Rhinolophus ferrumequinum: one gene and its partner. The protein of the gene in region 1 purifies or fractionates together with the protein of each later gene. This does not show direct contact. Links are inferred from orthologs where the notes say so. Each region holds a gene or a part of one and is shown on either strand. Other genes may lie near its edges. The genes, in order: EMC1 and TMED2.

Region 1 (11,882 bases):
ATAGTGCCAGGGGGTACTAAACTAAATGGGGGGAATCACTGCATAAATTATATAACTGTCTAACCACGATACTGTACATCTGAAGCTAATACAAAGTAATACTGAATGTGAACTGTCACTGAAAAAAAACATTTTTTTAAAAAAACACTGAAAGTTTTATATTATGTTCTTACATCTAGAACATTGCAAAGCTCTCCAGTCACGGTAAGATTAGGAAAAATAGTCAAGTACAAACACTGCGTCTAGCTGAGAGGTCTGCATCTAATAAATGCTCAATAAATGCTGGCTCAGTAAACACGTGTGTTCCATTACCTCAAGAACATCAAAAACTGGGTGTTTGAGGCTCTTTGGCTCTGTGGTGGTCCCTGGGAAAAAAGCCAAAAGGCCCAAAGTTGCTGCCCATGAAGGTCTATGTTCCAGCAAAGCCTTGAACCAAGCCAAGATAAAACACAGCATCTTCCCCTCTACCTGCCACTGTCCAAGGTCATCAAGATAAAACACAGCGTCTTCCCCTCTACCTGCCACTGTCCAAGGTAATCTCCCAGTTCAGGCCCCCGATATTAGTCTCCCAGGAACGCATGATCCGGCCTCCGTTGGACACAGTGATTGCATCTGGAAGAGACAAGACCATGGTGACGTCAACTCCCCAACTGGTGCTCTGCAGCCTCCTAGGGCCTGTGAGCAGTGGCCTCACCTCTGCTGTATGAGTGCAAGTATGAGCTATTTGCACTCCTGTTCTTTCCTTCTCCATTCCCTACCAGACCCTGCAGAAGGAAGGAACCAAGGAACGGGGAGAGGGAGCCGACACATGATAGGGACAAAGCAGGACTGCTTACCCTGTCCGTACAGTAACATGGCATCCACAGCCCCTTCTGCCGTGCCCTTGTCGACATGGCGCCACACTGAGAGACAAGAGGCAGACGTTACTATGAACTGAAGAGGAGGCATCCAAGAAGATGGGCAGGAGAGAACTGAAGAAGGCTTTGTTCGCACAGCAGTGTCCAGTTGTATTTCAAGGGAAGGAAGGGTTCCAAATAACGTAATGATCCACTCCCACTCGCTGGGTAATGAGGGGAGGAAGGGTTGAGAGGAGCTGCTACTGTCCCAGTCTGGGGTCTCTGCACTTCTAATCCCCATCAAACACATAAACGAACAGTGACGAAATTAACAAATCCACTGTGATTCACAGGAAAAACAGTGATTATAAATTACCTATCCATGATTTTAGTGCCTAAAAAATATCTATAAAAGTAGTGAAGTAATGGGGGAGGAGAGGAGGCATCCAAACCTTTTGTGCAAAATAGAATCACATGTGTTTTGCAGCAGTATCTTATTTAAGAACACGCAGAACTTGGGCTGAGGGACTAAACTACAAAGGCCAGTTACAGGATTAAATGACGAGACTAAAAAAAAGGTCAGAACCCAGTAAGAGATCGCATCTTTTGGCTGACTTCCCTAACTGGGGAACCAGCCGGGCAGACTTGACAAGCCACACAAGCCATTCTGGCTTCACTATGGTCAGCCATTCCATGCCGAGGTAACTAGTCTACACAATTCACTCACAGATCTCCCCAGTCCGAGAATTTAATGCTGCAATCACATTCTTCTCTGTGGCCACAACCAACTTCTTGGATCCAGGGGAAAATTCCAAGGAAGCAAACTTGAGCTTCCCAACATACTGCTGTCTCCTAAAGAAAAGAGAACAGGGAAACGTAAGGGGCCAAAAGCATCACTGCACAAAATGCTTTGAAAAAAGACACTGCACAAATATATGAGGTTATCGTCATCATACCTACCTTGGGTAGTAGGAGAAATGTTTGCTAATGAGATCTGACCAAAAGCAAAAGATCTATGCAATGTAGTCAGAAGCAAAGGGAACAAGAAGAGAGAATAACCTAACAGATGAGAAATGCAACAGTCTTCCTTCGAAATGCAAGCACATATTTATCTCAAGAAAAGTGATACCCAGAAGAGCACCTGGTCTAAATCCCACTACAACGTTACAGTCCTCTCTGCATTAATAGGGGGGCTAGGTGCTCATAGTCCACATGAGGGAAGAGACATAAATCCTGTTGTCCATAAGCATACAATCCAACTTTCCCTTCTATTTTCACGGACCTCTGGAGAAAAAATTATGCAAATTTTCTAATAAAAATCCATAGATTGGGTCAGGCCTTTGTTCTCTACAGCCTTTTCCATGTTCAGGATCCATGTGACCTATTGCTCATGCTTTCTTTGGAGTATATCTTATCACTTTCAACACTCTAAGCATAAAAAGAAGATAATTAGCTTCGTATGGCCAACTACCGAGTACATAGGAGGTGCTCCCACATTGCTGTTAATGAAGTACTGCATTCTCTAGCAAATTAAACGCACGATATTTACACGGAACTTCATTTGTCATGATGTTGTTTGGTCTAATTTTTTTTTTAAAGAAGAAATTGAGCTGGTAGTAGAAAGATAGGCTTATATGACATTTGACAGTTTCTACCTGTATTTCCACATACTTTATTCTTACTGCATCCACTGAACACTCTATGACATATGCTGGACAAATATTATTACTCTCATTTTACAGGTAATTAACCTGTAAATAGTCCACTGAAGTCAACGAATTACTGTCAGAACTAGAATGTGAAAGTAAGACCTTTTGACTCTAAATCCCATGCTCTTTTAAGATAACTAACTTTCCTCTGGACTATAAAACTAATGCCTGCTTATGCGTAAAAGTATTAAAAAAATCAAAAATGCCTAAAATACCACCACCATAAACTTTTTAATGTTTTGGTGTATTTCTTTGTATTTTTCAATTTGTAAATTTCATATATCTAGTATTCTGTTAATTGGAATCATACCAAATATGCTGTATATGTGCAATACATACATATTATATTGTAGGCCTTTCCCTACATCATTAAAAATATGACTTATGTTGCATTTGTCGTACCATCTTATATCACACACTTAAACAGCAGGTCCTTGAATAACATTATTTCATTATAATGATTTTCCCTAGGGACTTAACTCTTGTTTATATCAATTAGCCTACGGTAAAATTGGTTTGGATGTCTGTCTTTTTGTTTAAAGTCGCAGAACCTACTGATGACATTAAGTGAGGACGTACTGTATATCTGCCCCATGAGCTCCTTGTACCCCCAGCACCTAGAACAACCAATGACCCACGACAGACACTCAACAAATAAGTGAATTACCGTGTTTCCCTGAAAATAAGATCTAGGCGGACAATCAGCTCTAATGCGTCTTTTGGAGCAAAAGTTAACATAAGATCCGGTCTTATATAATATGTAATATAACATAACATAATACAATGTAATACCGGATCTTACATAATATAATATATAACATAATACCAGGTATAATGTAATATAATACCGGGTCTTATATTAATTTTTGCTCCAAAAGACACATTGGAGGGGATTGTCCAGCTAGGTCTTATTTTGGGGGAAACACGGTAATTTGCCTGATACAAAATAGGCTTCAAAGAGGAGGAGATATCTCAGCTGGGCTCTGAATGTTAAAATATTCCCTGAGTAGTAATCATAATGAGTACTGGACTGATTGCACTCAATGAGCCAGGCATGGTGTTAATTTAAGGGAATTATCTCACTCATCCTTACAACAACTGTAAGAGATAATGGACCAGTATTAGCAAATCATTTTACAGAAAAAGAAACCATGGCAGAGTGGTTAAGTCACTTTCCCAAAATTACACAACTCTTTAGTAGCAAAATTCAGATTCAAACAAAAGCAAGGCCTTAAGGAAGGTGTGGGATGGCAGGTGAGGAAGTGAGTGACTAAGTGAATGGCACCTCCATGAATGGCACCCCCTGGGTGATGTGAGACTTGTGAGCCCCTGTTCTGAACCCAGAGCCGGGGCTGGAAGGGAGGAGAAACAGGACTTAGTTTAGCACTCATAATAGCACCCGAGACTCGTACACATGCCCAAGAGAAGAGATGCCAATTCGAGGAGGAATGAGAGTTCGCCGAGGGCTGTCGACCTCTCACATGCAGATCAGAAACCTGACAGTCACTAAAATGGGGCCTGACGGGGGAGGAGGGAACAGAGATCTCTGACCAGAACCCCAAGCCGGCCTGAATGTCAAGGCCAGCTTCAGGGGCTTATGACCTGTACAGTCGCACGCTGCGTCTTAGAAGGGCCACCGACGTTTGGTTTAATGCTCTGCTGTCCCCATCTAAAAACTTTCAGCTTTTGAACAAGGGTCCCACATTTTGTTTTTGCACTGAGCCCTGTAAGTTTTGTAGCCTAGACGGTCCTGCTGCATGGTAACCGCCCGCCCTTTAGCAGGCAGAAGACAGGTACTGGGAAAATAGCCACGTATTTCCCGAAGAGGTGCCGCACGTACTCACCAATCAAACTTGCCGACTTGGTCTTCGTACACCGCTGCCGCAGGAATAAGCAATGCAGCCCAAAGCCAGACTCGGGAAGCCGCCGTCGCCGCCATGACAGGAGCCCGGGCCCGCCCGCTGACGACCCGGCATGCACCGCGCCGCAGGCTCCGCCTCCGCGGAACCACAGAGTTCGGGCCACATACAAACCCTCGGTGGGGCGCCCAGGAGTTGGAGGCTTCCGAACGTGCTGAGAGTCCACCTGAAAACGTGAGGAAGAGCGCAGGTGGAAGCCAGGCGGGGAGAAGCGGGCCGCACCGCAAATTGGGTCAGGCACGCACGAGGGCAGCTCTCGAGGGCCATCCCAGAGGCCCCCGCGCCGCCGGGGTCCTAACCGACGACACCGCCTTCCGCCGCACGTGGTTGCAGCGAGATGCCCAAATCCAAGCGCGACAAGAAAGGTGGGTGAAGGGCCCGTTGGGACCCGGTTAGGACCCCACCGGCTGCGATGGGGGTGTGGGGCACAGAATGGGACGCCGGGACCTCCGTGGGGAGCTCCGCGGGCTTGCTCTGGTAGCTAGCGGCGGGAGCACGCTGGGCAGAGGGAGCTGGAGCCTGGTCGTGTTAAGGGAGCCGAGACTGTTTTTCCCAGCTTCGACTGCTCTTCCAAGGCCTACTGGGCCGGGAAACAGCTTCCGAGCACCCAGACTGCGCCCGATCTCGCCTTGGCCCATCTTTCTCACCTTAGCCCATTTCCCTTAGCACTCTGCGCTCTCGCCACCCTGGTCGCCTTTCCCTTTCTCTAGCACAAGCTTATTCCCGTGCCTGGCTCTTTTTACTTGCATTCCCTGCCTACCTGGCATGCTTATGCTCCCATTTTCATTTTGCTGACTGAGTTGTCAGTTTATAGAGCACCTCCTAAGAGAGTATTCTTTACTATGGTGGCGTCTCTCTCACCCCGGCTGTTTAGTATAGTCACTCCACAAATATTTAGGTGCCTGGCACTCTCTAGGAGTAGAAGGATACAGCAGTTACAACAAGGAAGGCTTAGAGTCTTCATCGAGCTTAACACTTTAGTCATGGGAAGTATATCCCACCGAAACACCAAAAATTGAATGACTAAAGTCAAATAGTGATGAATCCCATAGAGTAAAAGTGAGGTGATGTACATGACCATAGGTCTTTGATGAAGTGGCAAATGAGCAGACACCTGAGGAAAGGAAGTGAGCAACCTATGGAGTTATCTGGAGAATGGTGTTCCAAGGAGAGGGAACACAAAGTGCAAAGGGGCTGAAGTGGGGGCATGTTTGATATGTTCTGGGACAAGAGGCTAGTGTGGCAGAAGCAGAGTTGGGGGGTTGCAGGGTGGGCAGGACTTTTAGGACCTTTGCAAGGAATTGGCTTTCACATCCCAGTGAAATGGGTAGGCATCTGAGAGCTTGAGCAGTACGATGATGTGGTTTGACTTTACTTTTAAAATGTCACCCTAGTTGCCATATTGAGAATGGACTGGGTAAAGTGGAAGCAAGGATGGAATCATCAAGAGCAGTAATCCAACACAGGGGTGATGCTTGGCTCACAGAGGCTTGGCTCACAGATGTAGCAGCGGAAGTGATAGGAAATGGACAACTCTTGTTTGCCCTCCTGTCCTGCACTTGCCTCTGACTGGTGTGATTACCTTTCTGTATATGTGCCTTTTGAGGAGGGACTAAACGCCAGGCCGGATGACTAAGAGGTGGCCGTTTCCTGGAGGCACCCTGGGTTTTGCATTTGATGCTGTTAAGTGTTCGTGGGTTCTATAGAGGGAGCCCTGATGAGATCTGGCAAATCCAAACCCTTCCGGATAAGAGGCAAATTAGGCCCTAGCTTTTGTTATAGTAGAGGTGCTTGTCCCTCTCCAAAGTGGCATTGCTGCATCCTTGAGTCCAATCTGCAAAACAGGATGTAGCAGAAAAGAGACAGTCCCCAGGCTCATCATTCCACAGCAGAAGCCATCCATAGATGGTCTCTGTGCACCACGGCCAAGAGCGGAAAGAGACGTGCCTCAGCCAGCAGACTAGCTCTACCACTGAAAGCATTCCCTCTAGCAGGTACAAGCCCCACCTCCACACCTCAGTGCAGATGTTTAAGCTAAACCAAGAAGGTTCAGAGGAACACCCTGCTTGTCTGAGTAACAGGAAATATATCAAAGGATCTGCAGGCTCAGAAACATCAGAAAGTCGGCGCTCTGCGGACCCTGGGGATAGTCTGGCTGCCTCTCCTCAGACGGGCTTGGTCCAGCCGAACTACCAAACGGCAAGAAGAAAATGAGTCTCCAGGACATCCAGATTTGTCTCTCATCATCTCTCCTTTTTCTTCTTTGTATTAGTTTCCTTAACCAAAACTGCCAAGAAAGGCTTGGAACTGAAACAGAACCTGATAGGAGAGGTAAGGGCTGTTTCCAGAATTTGTGTTTGGTTTATAAAGGTGTGCGTAGGACTGTATGTTAGGGAAACATCCTGTTTAAAAAAAAAAACCTGCTGAGCGGCCCTTTGTCCTCCAGTGGCAGCACCAGTACGACTCCCACAGTGATGCTTCCCAGCTTGGGCGGAGCCCTTCCTCTGTGCCCTGCACTGTGCTGCGTGCCATACGTATCATTGCACTCCATCCTCACACAGGAGGTGACATTAGCCCTGTTTTGCAGTTGGGTAACTGAAGCTTACAAGGATTTGTTAGCCTGCCCAATGTAAGAAGTCTGGGAGTTAGCAGACGTGGGTAAATGCGCCAACCCACTGTTTGCACTGCTTCGGGGCTGCAGGCTGGATAAAAGGGAGTCTCCTCCTGCATAACGATTGTTTCCTTGAGGCCACCTCATCATGGCTGTGGCCAGCAGTGTGGGCAGAGTAGGACCACTGAACTGTGTGCCCATGTGAGTAAATAATGAGGATTCGGTTGTTTCATTTAGAAGGTGCCTTCCTAGTGTAGCTAAGAGTTTCTGGGTTATCAATAACTAACAGACAGTGCAGAGAACAGGCCACAGGTCAGTCAGAAACCATGGGATCCTAACCCGTGGCTCAGCTTCCCCTGCACTTTGGGATCACCCCTGCTTTGCCCCAGGGGAGCCCCTGTACGTGGGGACCCTATCTTAGAGGCCTCCAGCTCTAACCTTCCACAGTTATAAGTTACCCGGAGCTATCCTTTCCCATCGGAGGCCAGAGTATTGCCCAATCCTGGTGCCCCTTGAACTCCAGAGCCCCGCGACTTGTTCCACAGCTTCGAAAATGTGTGGACACGTACAAGTACCTCTTCATCTTCTCCGTGGCCAACATGAGGAATACCAAGTTGAAGGACATCCGGAACGCCTGGAAGCACAGCCGGTGAGCAGGCAGGGAAGGGCGAGGCTGTTCTCAGTCGGGCACGTGGCAGCCATTGCCCCTGGGGTACCTGGGTCACAGATGGCAGGTTAATACGGACAAAGTGCCACTCCCAAGCCGAAGGTACTTTTTACCTGTTACAGCTAGCTGCTCTTCGCACTGTGCTCCCTCCCTGTGGAGCAGGACTTGGTAGGTGCTCAGGGAATGTTTGAGCAGTGACCCCTCCAAGAGAAGGGGCTCCCTTTCCCCTGGGGTCCGTTTAGGAACATCGCATCAGTTCTAGAATGTCATTATGTGCTGTTTTAGGATGTCATTATGTGCTCCATGATGCAGCGCTGACCCGAGAGCAGGTTGCCCAAGCCGTGTGGCGAGTACCTGTCCTCAGTTGGAACTATGACAATACGAGTGGCTCTGGTCGTCTCTTGCTGAGCCAGCTCAGGTTCAGACCATGAAACGGGCCTCTTCCGTACATTCAGGGGGGGCAGGCAGATTAGCACATAACAATCGTGGTGTTAGACAAGACATTGTGAATGTCAGGGTCTCTGGGCAGGAAAACAGTGAAAGGGACCTTGGGCTGGAGACAGAGGGGGCAGAGCTTTGTGGAAGAAGAGGGAGCCTCTGCCATGCCTCCAGCCACAAAACAGCCTGGGCCTGACTCGGCTCCACTTAATGGGAGGCAAGGCTGGACGGGGCACTTCTTTCACGGACCCCTCTTCTCTGTAGGATGTTCTTTGGCAAAAACAAAGTGATGATGGTGGCCCTGGGTCGAAGCCCATCTGACGAGTACAAAGACAACCTGCATCAGGTGAGTCTGGCCCTCTCCTGGAGGGGCAAGGCCAAGCCGCCTGCCCGCCTGCTGCTCTCACATGACACACACTCCAGCCATCTGGCCCGCCTGGGGATCAGGAGAGCCCGCCTGGCTTAAAGCTCCGGTTCCCCTTTAACCTCCTGACCCAGAGAGTAGTGTGCAGGTGGGCACACACCCAGCTGTGACAACCAAGTGTCTCTAGATGTTGCCAAATGCTGGGGGGTAAGGGGGCAAAACTGTCCCCATTTGAAAGTCACTGCTCTGATGTGACCAGACCAACCCCGTGTTTGTTCTTTAGGTCAGCAAGAAGTTGAGGGGTGAGGTCGGTCTCCTTTTCACCAATCGCACTAAGGAGGAAGTGAACGAGTGAGTGTTTCTGAGGGGTGTCTAGAGGTTGGTGAGGACGCTGGGGACTTTGTACAGTGGAGGCATCAAGGAAGAAGCTGTTCCTAGAACCCTGGTACTGAGTTCTCTCCAGTACTGCGCTCCAGGCTGGCTGCAGCTAGCAGCTGAGATTGCTGGAAAGGGAGGGAAGGCCCAAGGGGAGCCTCGCTTCAGGGGGCTGTGTGTGGCCCAGTCAGGAATCTCCCCTCCTACCACTTCTCTTTCCCCTAAGGTGGTTCACGAAATACACAGAAATGGACTACGCCCGCGCTGGAAACAAAGCAACTTTCACCGTGAGCCTGGACCCAGGGCCTCTGGAGCAGTTCCCCCACTCCATGGAGCCCCAGCTGAGGCAGCTGGGCCTGCCCACTGCCCTCAAGAGAGGTACGGGGAAGTCCCTGGAGCTGCAAGGTCACAGCTTAGCGGCCAAGAGCACAGGCTCCCAAGCCCGGCAGGGCCCCTCTCCCCTTTCTGGCTGAGCAGGTTACGTCTGCCGGCCTCCATTTTCTCATGAGAAAGGGGGGCTGAGAGTGCCCGCCTGATCACTGCGGTGAATGTGGACAGTACCTTACAGCCAGAATACAGCACTTCAGGGACAGAGGGAGGTGGTCACTGTACCCCGAACACCGTCGCAGGCAGCTGACTGCTGTTGCTGAATGCCTGCCCCAGCGTGTATTGGACTGGTGGGGCGGACAGGTGGCCAAACAGATCCCTCCCAGCTCTGGGCAGCAGACAGAAAGTTGTGCCAGAGGTAACTGTGTGGTGGCCCCCCTCTCTGCAGGTGTGGTGACCCTGCTGTCCGACTACGAGGTGTGCAAGGAGGGCGACGTGCTGACGCCAGAGCAGGCCCGCGTCCTGGTGAGTCCGGCCCGCCCAGCCATCTGCAGGCTGTTGGGGTGTGTGTGGAGGGGGTTACCGCAGAGACTCCTGATCATACTCGCTCCTCCTTACTCTTGGTTCCTTGGCCTCTCTTGCAGAAGCTTTTTGGATATGAGATGGCTGAATTCAAGGTGACCATCAAATACATGTGGGATGCACAGTCTGGAAGGTTCCAGCAGATGGGAGATGACTTGCCAGAAAGCGCCCCCCAGTCAGAAGAAGAATCGGAGGAACAAGACGATGACTGACGGGCACTTCGGACTGGGCCTCCCAGCCCATTCCAGGCCTTGTCTTGACTGGAACACACGGGACTGCCTCCGCCCCTCTTGGGGGACCAGCTGTGTATTTTGCTGTGGATGAAGACAGGTGGGGGGCGAAAGGCATAGACTCTTCTGTAAAGAATAAAACTTTGTCTGCAGGGTGTTTCCCTGTGATGGCAAAGGGACTTTTTCAGAAAAAAGGGCTTTGGATTTGGGCTTTTGATTGGATCCCTACGGTGCCCTTTGTTCACCTGAGGAGCCAGCTTCCAGCACTGGTTCCTGCGTGTCCATGGCCATGCAGCTCTAGGGAAGGGAAGGAGCAGCCACCAGGGCTTCTGTGCCCTGGCCCTCAGTGCACACACAAAAAAGGAAGCAGGCTGGAAATGGTAAACATGGATAAATACAAGACTTAGTCTCATTTTTAACCTTCTAAAAAAAGATCACTGAGTTTTTATGATATTAAATATACGATAGGACTCAGCAAAAACCACACCAGTGAACCGAGACACAAAAATCCTTTAGCAAATCAAATACAGTCGTATATAAAAAGGATCATACATCATGACTCAGTGGGTTGCGTACCCGGAATACTGGGTGGCTTTATATTTGAAAATCAGTCAATAGAATCGACTATACTAACAGGCCAGAAAATAAAACCTATATGGTCATCCCAATAGCTGTGAGAAAACCATTTAACAAGATTTAATAATCATTTGTGAAGAAGAAACAAAGAACTCTCAGCAAACAGAAGGGAATTTCCTCAAACTGACAAAAGGCATATACAAAAAAACATACAGCTAATATTTGGTAATGAAAAGGCTTTCCTCCTCCGACGGGGAACCAGCAGTGAGGTTGGCTCTCACCACTTATATTCCACATTGTATTGGAGACACTAGTGGTCCCTGCATACTTCAGTGTGCTTGCGTAATGATAACGAGACAATTTCTCACATACTTCCAATGCCATTATCACCCTAAAGAACAATTATTTTGTGTCACCTAATACCACATCTGGACTGATGGTTCTTTTCTTTTCAGCACTTGGAAAAAATGTGCCAATTCCTCGTAACCTTCATGTTTTTTCTGATGAGAAATCTGTCATTTGAATTCTTTCCCCTAAACCGTTTCTCTCTCATTCTCTTGCGATTTTTTTTGTCTTCAATTTTCACACGTTTGACTAGAAGTGTGTCTTGGTGACTTTTGGGGTGTTTATCCTGTCTGGAGCTCATTTCACTCATTGAATCTGTAGGTGTATATGTTGTCAAATTTGGGGAGTTTTCGCCCATGATTTCTATGAGCACTTTTCCAGCCTGCCCTGTTTCTCCTCTCCTTCCAGGACTCAACATTGTTCGGTCATTTGTGCTAGTCCCGCAGGTTCCTGACACTCCGCTCTTTGTAGTTATTTATTGATGCATTTTATAATGGCGGCTTTACAATCTGTGTTAGATGGTTGTAACCTCTGTCGTCTCAGGATTGGCATGTACTGATTGTCTTTTTTCATTGTTTGAGAACTTCCTGGTTCTTGGAATAACGAGTGGTTTCATTAAAACCTGAACATTGTAGTTATTACGAGACTTTTGATCTTCTGACCGTGCCCTGGGCCTCGTTACTGCCCAGGGGAAGGAACCCCGTCTCCCCATTAGGCCACCACTGATGCCTCCCTGGCTAGGAGGTTAGGATTGCTTCCTTACTGCTCCCGCATGGCCTCGCTGACACCATGGTGCGGGGAACATCCCAACACCACCAACGTGGGAAAGGGAAAGGGCTCCTCGTTACTGCAAGTGGGGGTGGAAGTCCTGTCTGCCATGTGGTCACTGACATCGCAGGACAA
Region 2 (12,108 bases), on another chromosome or scaffold:
GAGCTGCGCCCTCCACAACTACAGTGTTTCCCTGAAAATAAATCTAACCAGAAAATAAGCCCTAGCATGATTTTTCAGGATGTCATCCCCTGAACATAAGCCCTAATACATCTTTTAGAGCAAAAATTAATATAAGACCCAGTCTTATTTTCGGGGAAACATGGTAGATTGAAGACAACGAGCTGCCGCTGAGCTTCCGGAGGGGCAGCCAGATGGCTCAGTTGGTTAGAGCACGAGCTCGCAACAACAAGGCTGCTGGTTCAATTCCCACATAGGTTTGTGGGCTGTGCTTCCTGCAACTAAGATTGAAAACGGCGACTGGACTTGGAGCTGAGCTGCGCCCTCCACAACTAGATTAAAGGACAATGACTTAGAGCTGATGGGCTCTGGAGAAACACACCGTCCCCCAATATTGCCCAATCTAAAAAAAAAAAGTTTTTTTTAAATCTTCAGTTTTAGGGGAAATAAGCAACATCTCAGCATATATTAGTAATCATACTGGCACAAAAGTTTTAAATATGTGTTAAAAACCAATGCAATACCCATTTTACAATGTTTTTCCTTTCCGCTTTAAGAAATTAGCTTATTCTTTAGCTGACTATACTTTTGAAAAACTCTCAAAACCTTGTGCTGAATCTTCATAGCACTTATTGGTTTAGAACACGAGTCCCAATAATAAACTAGTGTAGTACAGAGCTCTACAAACATGTATACTTAAAAATATTTTTGCACAGGTGCTTTTTTAAGCCAATGATTTAGTATGCTTATGTCTGCGCAACTTCCCAACGAGGAGAGGGGAAGTGAGCTGGGGGGCACCACACACAAGGCCACAGGGCCAGCCGGCTCGTTAACTTACTCGCTCTGTGTATTCTCTCGCGAACTTCCATGTATTCCTGTTCGTGTTTTACAGCTGTCATCGCCACTGCTAGCTCATTAATCATTTCTTCCAGCTTGTTCTGGTGAGCTACAGAAGGGTTTGAAAACACAGTGGCACATATTTGGTAATCTCTTCTTGAAAAATACTTATCAAGTAATAAAAATATTGCTCAAAAAAGGCATACAAAAGCAGCTATGTTTAGAAATGGCACAGAAATCATTTTGAACAACTGATGACAATTTAATTCTCAAAGCACGTTTTTAAAGTCCATTCACAGCAGAGAAACATCTTTCAGGATAGAAAACATACTGTACAATTTTTACTAACTGAAGGAAAATAGTTATCCCTGAGAAATTTCTTCTAATGAACTGTTACTAAGTGAAGTTTACTATACTGACTGCTAATCAGAGAGGAAAAAAAAATGAGTGGAAAAAAGAAAGCACAAAGTATCAAACAAACAAAATCCCCAATAACACCCTAACAATAATCTACAAACAACAATATTTAAACTAAAATCAAAACCTACTCTTAAGGTGAAGACAAGCTCTCAGCTGCACAAGGTTTAAAACCGGTATTCTCCTTGGCCAAAAATGAACACAAGGTGAACAGTTCTGAAAAGTAAGTGTATGCTTCTGGGTAGTGCTTTATTGTGACAATGAAGAAACAGGGAGGAAAAAATATACCACAAGGAAAGATTCCCATTGGAGGAGTTGCTTTATCACTGTCCAGGATTGGGCCTCGTCTAGAAGTCCAAATTGCCACAGATAATCCTCAATTTCTTGTGAGAGGCCAAGGGCCCCTACCATTTTAAGGTATTTGGGCTGGAATCTCAACCCTTCCTCACGAGCTTCACTTTGGAAGGACCATGTACTACTACGTGGAACCTTTAAATCAGGGTTTCCAGGGGCACACTGTTAACATTTTGGACCAGATAATTCTTTTGTTGTGGGGAGCTATCCAACGCTTTGTAGGATCACCCACCAAGCCATGAGAATCAAAATGTCTCCTGATACTGCCAAATGCCCCAAATCATCCTGAAGCGAACCACTGCTTTAGAAGAAGGCTTGATTTGACAGCTGCCATCCAATGACATTAACAAGCAAAAGCAAGAATTTCAGGTATCGTGTTAAAGGATTATTTAAGAATAGTTCAATATTCACATTCATCAGCCAACATTTTCTAACTACTTAGAAAGGACTAATCTCCTGAAAATGAACAAACACAAAGCCCTTCAAAACTCCCAATTCTCCTTGAGAATTAGCCAACTCCTACACTGTAAATGACCATGAAAAGCAGCACAGGAATTACTAAGTAGTATGATTCTCTAAATTCTATAGATTTCAAAACCTAGCAAACACTTCATCTTCTTTACGATGTAAGCGCTCTACTAACTGCTCAATGTCTAAGACAAATATTACCATGTTAATGCCGTGAAGTATACTGAGCAGCTCCGTTCAGCTCCGTTCCAAAAATCCTAATACTCTATGTCCTGTGACAACACCCTCATTCCCCAGCCCCGCCCCCAAAAAATCCAAACGTGCTGGCTCCTGGTAAGCAGTTTATCCAGAAGAGTCAATTCAGAGTTCAACGCTGATCATCTGAGGAATAAAATGTAATCTAACTATAACATATGGCTGAAAGAACTTTTGTCACCATATCTAGACATGGCTCCTAGAAATGCATTTCATATACAACCAAGTTTCAAGTTAGAAAACTTTAATATGGTTAAAACAAGCCTACAACATACTTCCTACAAAGTCAACAGCACCATTTGCTATTAGCTATGTTTAATCAAGACTTTTACTTGTCCAGTTATGGTTGACTCTTTCCACGCTTCAGCATTCATTGAAAATATATATATATATATATATATATGACAATGGTACTACTAAAAAATCAATGGCTGTGTTCCTAGTTCTATTCATTTAAAATGACCTGACCTGTACCTCCTGTCAAATAAATAAAAACCACCAAAAACAATCACTCTAAAACTCTAATTAGTTGTAGGGTTGTTTTTGTTTAAGACAAAAAACACTCTCATGCTAACAAACTGAGGTTAGAAGGAAAGCAGAAATTAGATAACAGCAAACAAAAATATGCAAAAAGACAGGATGCCATCAAAAATCAATCCACATACCATCCCAGGTATCTCCACCACCTAAAGAAAAGTTTAAGATACAAACACACACAAAAATAAAACAACAAAAAGTTTAGCTACACTAGTCATGTATACAAATGAGCAAATAAAGATGTGTATACCAGGATTTGCAAAGTAGCAGAGGAAACCACCTAAGACACATGTAATCCACATGCTAGCACAAAGTTGCCAGGAGGGGCAACTGCAAAGAACTAAAATATAAACATGAACTTCCAGAAACTTCTTTTTGTTAATTAGGTGATTTGGATAAATCAAAAGTATGTTTCACAAGAGGGTTTTGATTTCAAAGACAGTGTGAATGAACCTAGAATAAGAAATCACACATAGATACTCAATTCAGATGGTGAAAATGTACAGAATTAACTCCTGGGACGTGATACAAATCTTCCGAATGTTCATCTCACCTTCTGTTTCCATGTCTTGTCCTTTTGGCGCCTCACCGATATCAATGGTGAACATCACTATCTTTGGAGTCATGGTGGACATCCTATTGCTAAAACAAAACTTGTATGTTCCATCCATGTGAGCAGCAAATGTGTATTTCCCACTGGACTCCCGGTCTCCTTTATAAATTCCTTTATTATCAGGCCCTGTAATCTGGAGGCAGGAGGGAAATGCATGAGATTATCACGGAAGATTTCAAATCATAGGTTTCGTAAGTGATGTCTATTGGCAGGCAGTAGGATATTTGCTAAGAAAATGTAATTTTCAGGGAGCTCCACAGCAGTTGGTAACAGTAACCTCTCTGGGCTCCCACGTAGGAGACCAGGCTCTCCAAACACCTTTTAACTCTGACTACAGAGTTCCTCTCATTTGTTCAACTCAAATGTAAATTCCCCAGAAACAGAAACCACACCTTACACATTGTCTCCAAGTGTCCTAACACCTCCAACAAACATGCAAACAATGTATCCACTAACATCAAAATAAAAAAATCTCTTTAAAACTAAGAATTTTGAGCAAGGGGCATTTCTAGGTTTTCCTGATTACGGCCAACCAGTGAAGGAATCCGCTTCATCTGAGAAGCCTGAAAGCTTAAGGAAAAGAACTAGACTGGAAATTAGGAGACTGTGTTCTCATTGCAATCTGCTCCAGATCGGCTGTTGGGTTCTGTTCAAGTCAGTTCCTCTTATAAAGCCCTGGACACTGGAATCGTTGATCTCTAAGGTCTTAGCTAATCTGAACAGTCACTCCTTCCATTACCCACTTACTTCTGAACTTCACATGGATTGTGTAATTCGTGCCCAACTCTGCTAACGTGCACTATCAACTAGAAAAGTCCTTAAACCCAATTAATCATGCTAACAGATGAATTTAAATATTAATCATATCTGGTTTCCAAAAAAAAGTTAGAGGTGACTCATTCCTTTGGTTTAAAAAAAGATATGGGATGAAATGTAGGGACTACTGGTTTCTTAAAATAATTCCCCGTTTTCTCCACTGCAGTCATTACTCCTAAAATGCACGACCCAACTCCACCTCTCTTCGTCAGAGATGGTTCAACGATATATCCGGAGGTTTGCGTAAAAAACTAAAACACTCTGGTCGTTTCTATGAAAAGTAAAGAAAAACACCACGCGAACGTCTGCCTAGCATTCCTCGGTAACTTTCGGTGTACTTTCTCGAAACTTTTCCTGCCACGTTCCAACATTAATCCGTTACGTGAACGAATGCAGCTGCGGACCCGATCGAGTCCTGCCACCAGCCAGCCGCCCCGAGATGCGCCTTCCCCGCCCGGAGCTGACACGCGGCGCTTGGTCGAGAAAGCTCGGCGAGAGGTCCCAAGGGGAACCCCAAGCTGACAACCCCAAGCAACTCAGCAACCGCTCCGTATCCCGGGGGGAGCCCGGGGCCTGGAACCCGGCGGGCCGCGGGCGAAACGGCCGTGAGGGGGTCGCCGCGGCGGGGGCCAGGCGACAGCCTGGGTCCCTTCCGGGGCTCGGACAGCAGCCTCCACGTCCCGCGCCCTCCTCAGGCCCCTCGCGGGCCCCGGGCGCCGCCAACCCCCGAGCGAACGCGCGACCCCGCCTCGGCCGCGGGCAGCGCGCCCGCACCTCCACGTCGATGTCCAGGAAGCCTCCCTCCGCCACCTCGAAGATGAGGCCCATCTTGGTGCCCGAGGTGACCCGCTCGAAGAAGCACTCCTCGGCGTGCGCGTCGATGCTGACGAAGTAGCCCGATGCCGTGGCCAGGAGGGCGGCCAGGAGCACCAGCAGCTCAGCAAGCGTCACCATGGTGGGGCTGGAGCCGAAGCCAGGATCGGGACTGCGGCCTCCAGAGCCGCCGTCGCCGTCGCCACCACCGCTGCCGCCTCAGCCGCCGCCAACTCAGCTCCGCCCGTTCCGGCTGCGCCACCCGAGGGGGCTGATGCGTGCGCCCTGGATTGGCGGGCGCTGGCAGCTGCCACGTAACGGGCGCACGGCGGCCGCCGAGGGACAAGGCGGCTCCGCGCGGCCAGGGCCTGGACGGTGGCTCCGAAGGACCAGAAAACGTCGTCCCCACCTCCATCCCCTTTCGCGCGCATCCTAAAGTTCACGAGAAAGCGACAGCATCGAGAAACCTCCCCTGCCCGACTGCAGTACCCTCTTAGATTGTTCAAAAACATGGCGAGAGATTCGGAGGCAACAACACGAGTGGACGGACGGGGAGATGGGGGCTGTGTTGGCCTCTCCTCACCCCTCAAAAATCGACGGGGGAAGGAGGGAGGCGCGTACGTCCAGAGTGGGAGGGGACACGAGGGAACCAACTGAGATGTTGAAGTATTTTATACCTCCACCTAAATGAAGGGTACACGAGGGTTTACATATTTTTGTAATCAAGAAGATGTATATTTAAGACTAATGCACTTTATTTTACTGTTAAAAAAATCCTTGTCCAAATCCTTCCAAAATTAGAATTCTCTCAGTTCCCCCAAATCTTGCTGCCACACCATTTCCCCTTAGCTCTTGCCAGCTGCTAGGACAATTTTCCCCCTGCCCTTTGTCTCCTAACATTCTCCTACTCATTCCTCAAAAGTCAATTCAAATGTCGTCGTCTCCTCCGAAATGTGCCTGAACATTCCTTCTGCCAAATACCAGCCCCCCGCTGTGTGCTTAGGGCGCAGACCTGTGCCTGCTGAGGTATAGTCGTTTACCAGTCTGCATCCCTCCGGAGGCACCGGGTATATGCATGCTGTGCTCTCAGGCCCTTCCAGGGCCACAGAAGACCTCCCTCATGACATCTTAGCTAGTTCAGTGAACTGGCCAGGGGATGAGGACACCTAGTCGTTACTCTAGTTTTGCACGGAGCTGTGTGACCTTAATTATGTTACATCACCTCTTATCTGTACAAAGGGGGTGAACACCATATGCTTTCCTTATCTGCCAAAGTCATGAGGATCAGATGACTCATGCTTGTGAATGTGCTGCGCACGTTTCTTAAGGACATCATCAGGCAATAGGGGGCAGTAGTGGCCCAATATCCGTTTCCTACTTCAGGTGTCAAGAAACAGGTGCAGCTACAGTGAGGGAAGCTTCCTGGTTATTGAACAAGTTCTAGCAATGATCCCCTGATTCTCCACCTTCCCGGCTGTGGCAATGGCCCTGCTTCGCCTGTAGAATAATCTGGGAGCCATCATTGGAGGGAGGGTCAGCCTAGAGCCTGCTCTACCACTCTACCAGCCTCGCCAACCTATTTATATGCCTGTTTCCCTACATTAAATCTCTTTCTGCTTAAAATACCTACAGAGGTATCCTATTAAACTGATGGACGGGACTGTTGGACTTACCAAGCAACCCAACTCTGTAGAAAATTGCCAAGAACAATTCTGGTTTTATCTAGAAATTAAGTGTTCTTTTTTTATTTTTGAACTAATTAAATAATATTCTAACTCCACAGATCGGGGATTTTAAATGCTGACAATGAATTGTATATTGTGAGGGTTGTATTTTATAAATCAGGGGACCCAAATTCAAATGCCTTCAGCAATCGGGAAGTTTATGTGAATGAGAGATGGCACCAGCTTAAGGCAATAGGGAGTGGGGAGGACTGTGGAAAACTGTATCAGATGCTGTACCTAAATACGTGGGGTTTTTTAAAGATTTTATTGGGGAAGGGGAACAGGACTTTATTGGGGAACAGTGTGCACTTCCAGGACATTTTCCAAGTCAAGTTGTTCCCTCTACCCCAGTTGTAGGGGGCACAGCCCACCATCCCCTGCGGGAGTCGAGGAGTCGAACCGGCAACCTGTGGTTGAAAGCCCACAGGCCCATGTGGGAATCGAACTGGCAGCCATCGGAGTTAGGAGCACGAAGCTCCAACCGCCTGATCCACCGGGCGGGCCCCTGTACCTAAATACGTTTGACTCCAATTTTTGGAAACGCTGTGGTGGCCAAGCCAGAGATGCAGCCAGAAGTCATCTGTAAATTTATTTTTTATGCTATAAAAGTAATTGTACTGTCTAATAATTGGAAAAGAGACAGAATAACTCTAATCACAGTACTATAAAATAATCAGTATCACCACTCGGTATAGTTCCTTCTTTGTACAGGTTTTTCTTTTTAACATCGTTGTCATAATTACTCATCAGGTGTCTTTTCAACATATTTCAGGATGAAGACAAATTAATTCAAAGAACCACATGCTCTTGAGACTTGCCAGGTCACCCATAGTAAGCGTGCATGTCTACTGTCCTCAGCACAGATTGGCATGAGCTACTGTGCCATGCTGTGCATGAATATTCTGACACAACAAATAGTTGGCACATAGTGGATACTCAAAAAATATATGATGGGAGTTGTGGTCAAGATGGCAGAGTAGGTTTTTGGATGAGCAGACGTTTTTAATTTGTATGAAATTTCTCTTATGTTAAAATAAAATTTATGATAAAAAATATATTTGATGAATGATGAACGAAGCTCTCAAATGCACCCACCCTCCTTCCTTCCCTCCCTTCTTTATTGAGATATAATTCACATACCGTAAAATTCACCCTTTTAAACTATTCACTGGTTTTTAGCACATTCACAAAATTGTTCAGCCATCAACAATAATTCCAAAGCATTTCATCATCCCCAAAAAGACACACTGCAGACACATTAGCGTTCATTCCCCACCCCCCCTGCCCCTAGTAACCATTAATCTACTTCCCGGCTCAGTGGATTTTGACTGGGATTCTACAATATGTGACCTTATGTGACCAGCTTCTCTCACTGAGCATGTTTTCAGGGTTCATCCACATTGTAGCATGTATCAGTATCTCATTCCTTTTGATGGCTGAATAATATTCCATTGTGTGTATGGATAGGCCACATTTTGTTTATCCATTCACCCTTTGATGGACACTTGGTTTGTTTCCACTTTTTGGCTATTATGGAGAATGCTGTTATAAACATACATGCACATATTTTTGTATGGACGTGTTTTCAGTGCTGTTGGGTATATACCAAGAGTGGACAAAATAATTTATTTCTGCTTGGAATCAGCAGCTTGTTGTGGCAGGGACTAGGCAACCAGATTAGAAATTGATGAGGTGTTTGTATCAGTTACACCAGTACATTCTCAAATGCTGGCAAGTTTTGAAGACAAAAACAAAAGGCTGTTTCTACACAAAGGCTAGATCAGCTTTCTGCCATCTGGGTTTTAACGCTCCCCTTCCCTTCTGGTCCCACAAAAGTCTTCTTTAAAATTCGGGAAAATTAAAGGACCCTGGGGGATTTTCTTTCATCATTCTTTTTTTTTCATTTTCAGATTTAAAGTGTCACTTTATTGAGAACAACATTAATACATAAAAATAATCAGAATTCAAGACAGATGTAACCACAATATCACCACCTTACCCAATCAGCCATTCTAGCCCTCTGTGCATTGGATCCCAGCCCTCTCTGCTCTCCTCTGCATCACTGGCCCCCTTGTACTCTGCTTCCTGGTAGGTTCAGCTAATTGCAGGTACTGACAGGAGATTGGAAAGTAGAGGAAGGGAGAAGCGAGGGCCTGTGTCTCCCTCTCTGCTTTGGGAAGCACGTCTGCTACGGGCTGAATCTTGCTGAATCTTCAGGACTCCAGCTCCTCTGAAGTTCCAGCTTCCACTGGGTGGTCTGGCTTCTAGGCTCTGGTAACCCCACTTCCTCTCTTAGCTCCTCCAGTCCTAAGTGAGTTGGAGTCTGTCTGCTGTTGTTCATTTGTGGGTTGTCTCCTCATCCCTGGTTTGTCTCCTCAGCTCTATCATCACCTGTTGTGATGGCTTCAGAATATATCCACAAATGTTTTGACCCTCCTCGCTTCCAAAGGTGGAGCCCAGTTTCTCTCCCCTGCACTGGGGGGAAGACCTAGTGACTCACTTCTGTCTCCAACAAGGTGGCATATGTGACCGTGTGTGACCTCTGAAGCTGGGTAATAAAAGGCATTGTTGCTTCTACCTTGTCTTCTTGAATCGATTCCTCTGGGAGAGGCCGGCTGTCATGTCGTGAGGACACGCAAGCAGCTCTGGAAAAGGCCCACGTGGAGAGAGACTGAGGCCTCCCACCCACGGCCGGGTGACAGGCATCTTGGAAGTGGCGCCTCCAGCCCCAGTGAAGCCTTCAGATGGCCCCAGCTCTTGACCTCAAGCTAATGAGAGACCTTGTATCGGAACTGCTCAGCCAAGCTGCCCCTCAATTCCAGACCTGCAGAAACTATGAAAGATGATGATTATTGTTGTTGTAAGCCACTAAGTTTTCAGGTTACTTTTTACCCAGCAATAGGTAACTAAAAACCAATTTCCTACATGGAAACGTTTCTGTTAGAAACACCTAGAGTGAGTTCTATTTTCTTACTGATACAAACTCTTGTCCTGAATTGTAAATCAAATGCAAAATTAGCATCTATGAAATGTGAACAATGTAAATGTGAGGCTGTTACTGAGAGTGAGACTGGGTCACATGACCCCAGGCCCCTGTGATGGGTTCTGCGTGTACACAGCAAACAATAATACCTGGAAGTCATTAATTACAGGCTGAAGAGGGCAATCCAAGTAGAAAAAGCTACAGGAGAACGGAAGGGGGTCATTCTTGATGGTAGGATCCACTGGTGAGAATATTAGTGTAGAGGCAGGAATAATATTTAAAGAAGGATTTGGGTAATGATGTGCAAAGAAAAGGATATTCTAGATCATGAAGTTGAAATTGAAGTATTAAAAAGAGAAAGGTTTTAGATGGCCACATTTCTACAGTGTGGACAAGCACTACCAGCTTCCTGGTCCCAAACTAAATATGGATTTTTTTTCCTCTGTTCAACATGTGTTCTCTGTTCTACAAGAGCACTCTGCTTGTCCATTGAGGATTCCCCTCCCTCCTGTCTTATCCCATGCCATTCAGGTGAACTGCCCCCACCCACTGGCTCTAAGCCTGACCAATCAGCAACTTCTATCTCCCTAAGCACAATGATTGGTCCAGGGATGGGCATGTGTCCCAAACTGAGCCAATAATATGCCATGAAAATTCATTGACTTTTCTGAGGTTATTAAACCAGTAGGATGTAACCCTAGAGGTCCTGGAGGCCACCTTTGCCACACCGTGTAGAGAACCTGCATGAAGATGATGTTAACATTGTACAAATCTGGAGCTGAGGGTTAAGGAACAACAGAAGTCAGATGACATCGCTGAGCCCCTGAATCCAGCTGTGCCTGAAGTCCACCTCCTGGATTTCTTGTTCATGTAAATTTTTTGCTTAAGCCAGTTTGAATTGAAGAGTTCTGACAAACTGTGAAAATGCAAAGCAAGGCGTTAGAACTACAGAGACTTCCCCCATGTTTGTTTGGAGATGGTCATGATAAGCAGGCTCAATGATATATATGCTTTAAAATAATTTAGGTCAATTCATTGGGGCATGGATTAGACATTTTGACAGTGCATAAGGAGAACCTATGTTTTCAACGACTAGGTTATGGGCTACAAAGTACTAATCACTTTGTTAGCCCCATCACTCATGTATGGGATCATACTCAATTCCTTTCTGACAGGGACTTTCCTTCCTCACCTGTAAAATGGGTAATATCTCCTCAGGGTGGCTGCTTGCCTACCCCACCTCTGCAGACTGAGTCAGCTGCTCTTATTCTGGGTTTAAACAAAACCCTGTGTGTGGTTCTATCATAGTTTTTATCTTGTTATTTCATTTTTTAATATTCAGATATCATTTATATACCATACAATTCACCGTTTAAAGTGTACAATTCAATGGTTTCCGTTATATTCAACCATCACCACAATCTTTTTTTTTTTTAATTCTTAAAGCTCATTGGTTCATGCAGCTACAAAGCTTTGAGGTAGCAAAAAAATAAGGCACAGTTTGATCCAGTTGCTCAAATGACATCCCAGGATATGGTCTGATCTCAGACCCACCTTGACCCTGCTTGCCTTCTTATTCAGCCTGGCTCTTTCAAAACTAACAAGGCTTCCAGGCAATGTTCTCAGCAACTCATGGAAAAAACTACCAACCAAAATGATAACTTACCTTTTTCAAGAGGCCAGGAAAAGTGTTCTGGACTCTCATTGAACTGTCTGAGGTCAGTGCTCATTCCTGAGCCAACCACCAGGCCCACAGGTTGGGTGGTGCTGATTGGTCAAGCCTGGGTTTCCTACCCTGGAACAAGGAAGCAGGGGAGGGGTGGTTCATCTGAGGAAAATCAGAAAAATGGGATAGATCCTAGCAGGCAAAACAACAGATGTATCTCTCTACTCACTGGACTACACACTCCTTGAGGTCAGGGACTTGTGATCTAATTTATCTTTGCACTCTCGGAACCCTGCCTGGCACACAGAAGGTACTCAATGGCTGTGAGCTTCCTTTTCGCTTTCCCATCTCACTCTATTCTGGAGCCTGGTTCATCTCCCCAAAACAAGGAGTTCTTTGAGGAGGTAAAGGTTCCTGCGAAGTGATCTGAGCTTCCAGAAGGAAAGTACTGCTTTTATCACAGGCAAAGCAACAGGGAAAGTAGAAACAATCCAAAAGTCCCACATGGATGGATGAATGGATCAACAAAATGTGGTCCGTCCATACAATGGGATATTACTCAGCCATAAAAAGGAAAGCGGAACCGACACATGCTGCTACAATATGG

What was found.
Region 2: the proteins of EMC1 (region 1) and TMED2 purify together in Homo sapiens (affinity purification with mass spectrometry; 3 studies listed by BioGRID and IntAct, with this or other methods). This does not show direct contact. The link is inferred for Rhinolophus ferrumequinum from reciprocal best matches to the Homo sapiens genes EMC1 and TMED2.

Annotation. Positions count from the first base shown.
Region 1 is NC_046292.1:12,939,845-12,951,726, forward strand, and holds the start of EMC1 (ER membrane protein complex subunit 1), read right to left. Parts: upstream 4,589-11,882; 5' UTR 4,485-4,588; coding exon 4,390-4,484; intron 1,689-4,389; coding exon 1,564-1,688; intron 903-1,563; coding exon 837-902; intron 613-836; coding exon 519-612; intron 1-518. Other genes in the region: MRTO4 (mRNA turnover protein 4 homolog), read left to right, coding at 4,802-4,829, 6,737-6,795, 7,621-7,724, 8,445-8,526, 8,828-8,895, 9,146-9,297, 9,695-9,771, 9,891-10,040. UniProt on the Homo sapiens protein: Part of the endoplasmic reticulum membrane protein complex (EMC) that enables the energy-independent insertion into endoplasmic reticulum membranes of newly synthesized membrane proteins.
Region 2 is NC_046308.1:4,329,425-4,341,532, forward strand, and holds the start of TMED2 (transmembrane emp24 domain-containing protein 2), read right to left. Parts: upstream 5,404-12,108; 5' UTR 5,270-5,403; coding exon 5,090-5,269; intron 3,633-5,089; coding exon 3,440-3,632; intron 3,036-3,439; coding exon 3,015-3,035; intron 965-3,014; coding exon 857-964; intron 1-856. UniProt on the Homo sapiens protein: Involved in vesicular protein trafficking. Mainly functions in the early secretory pathway but also in post-Golgi membranes.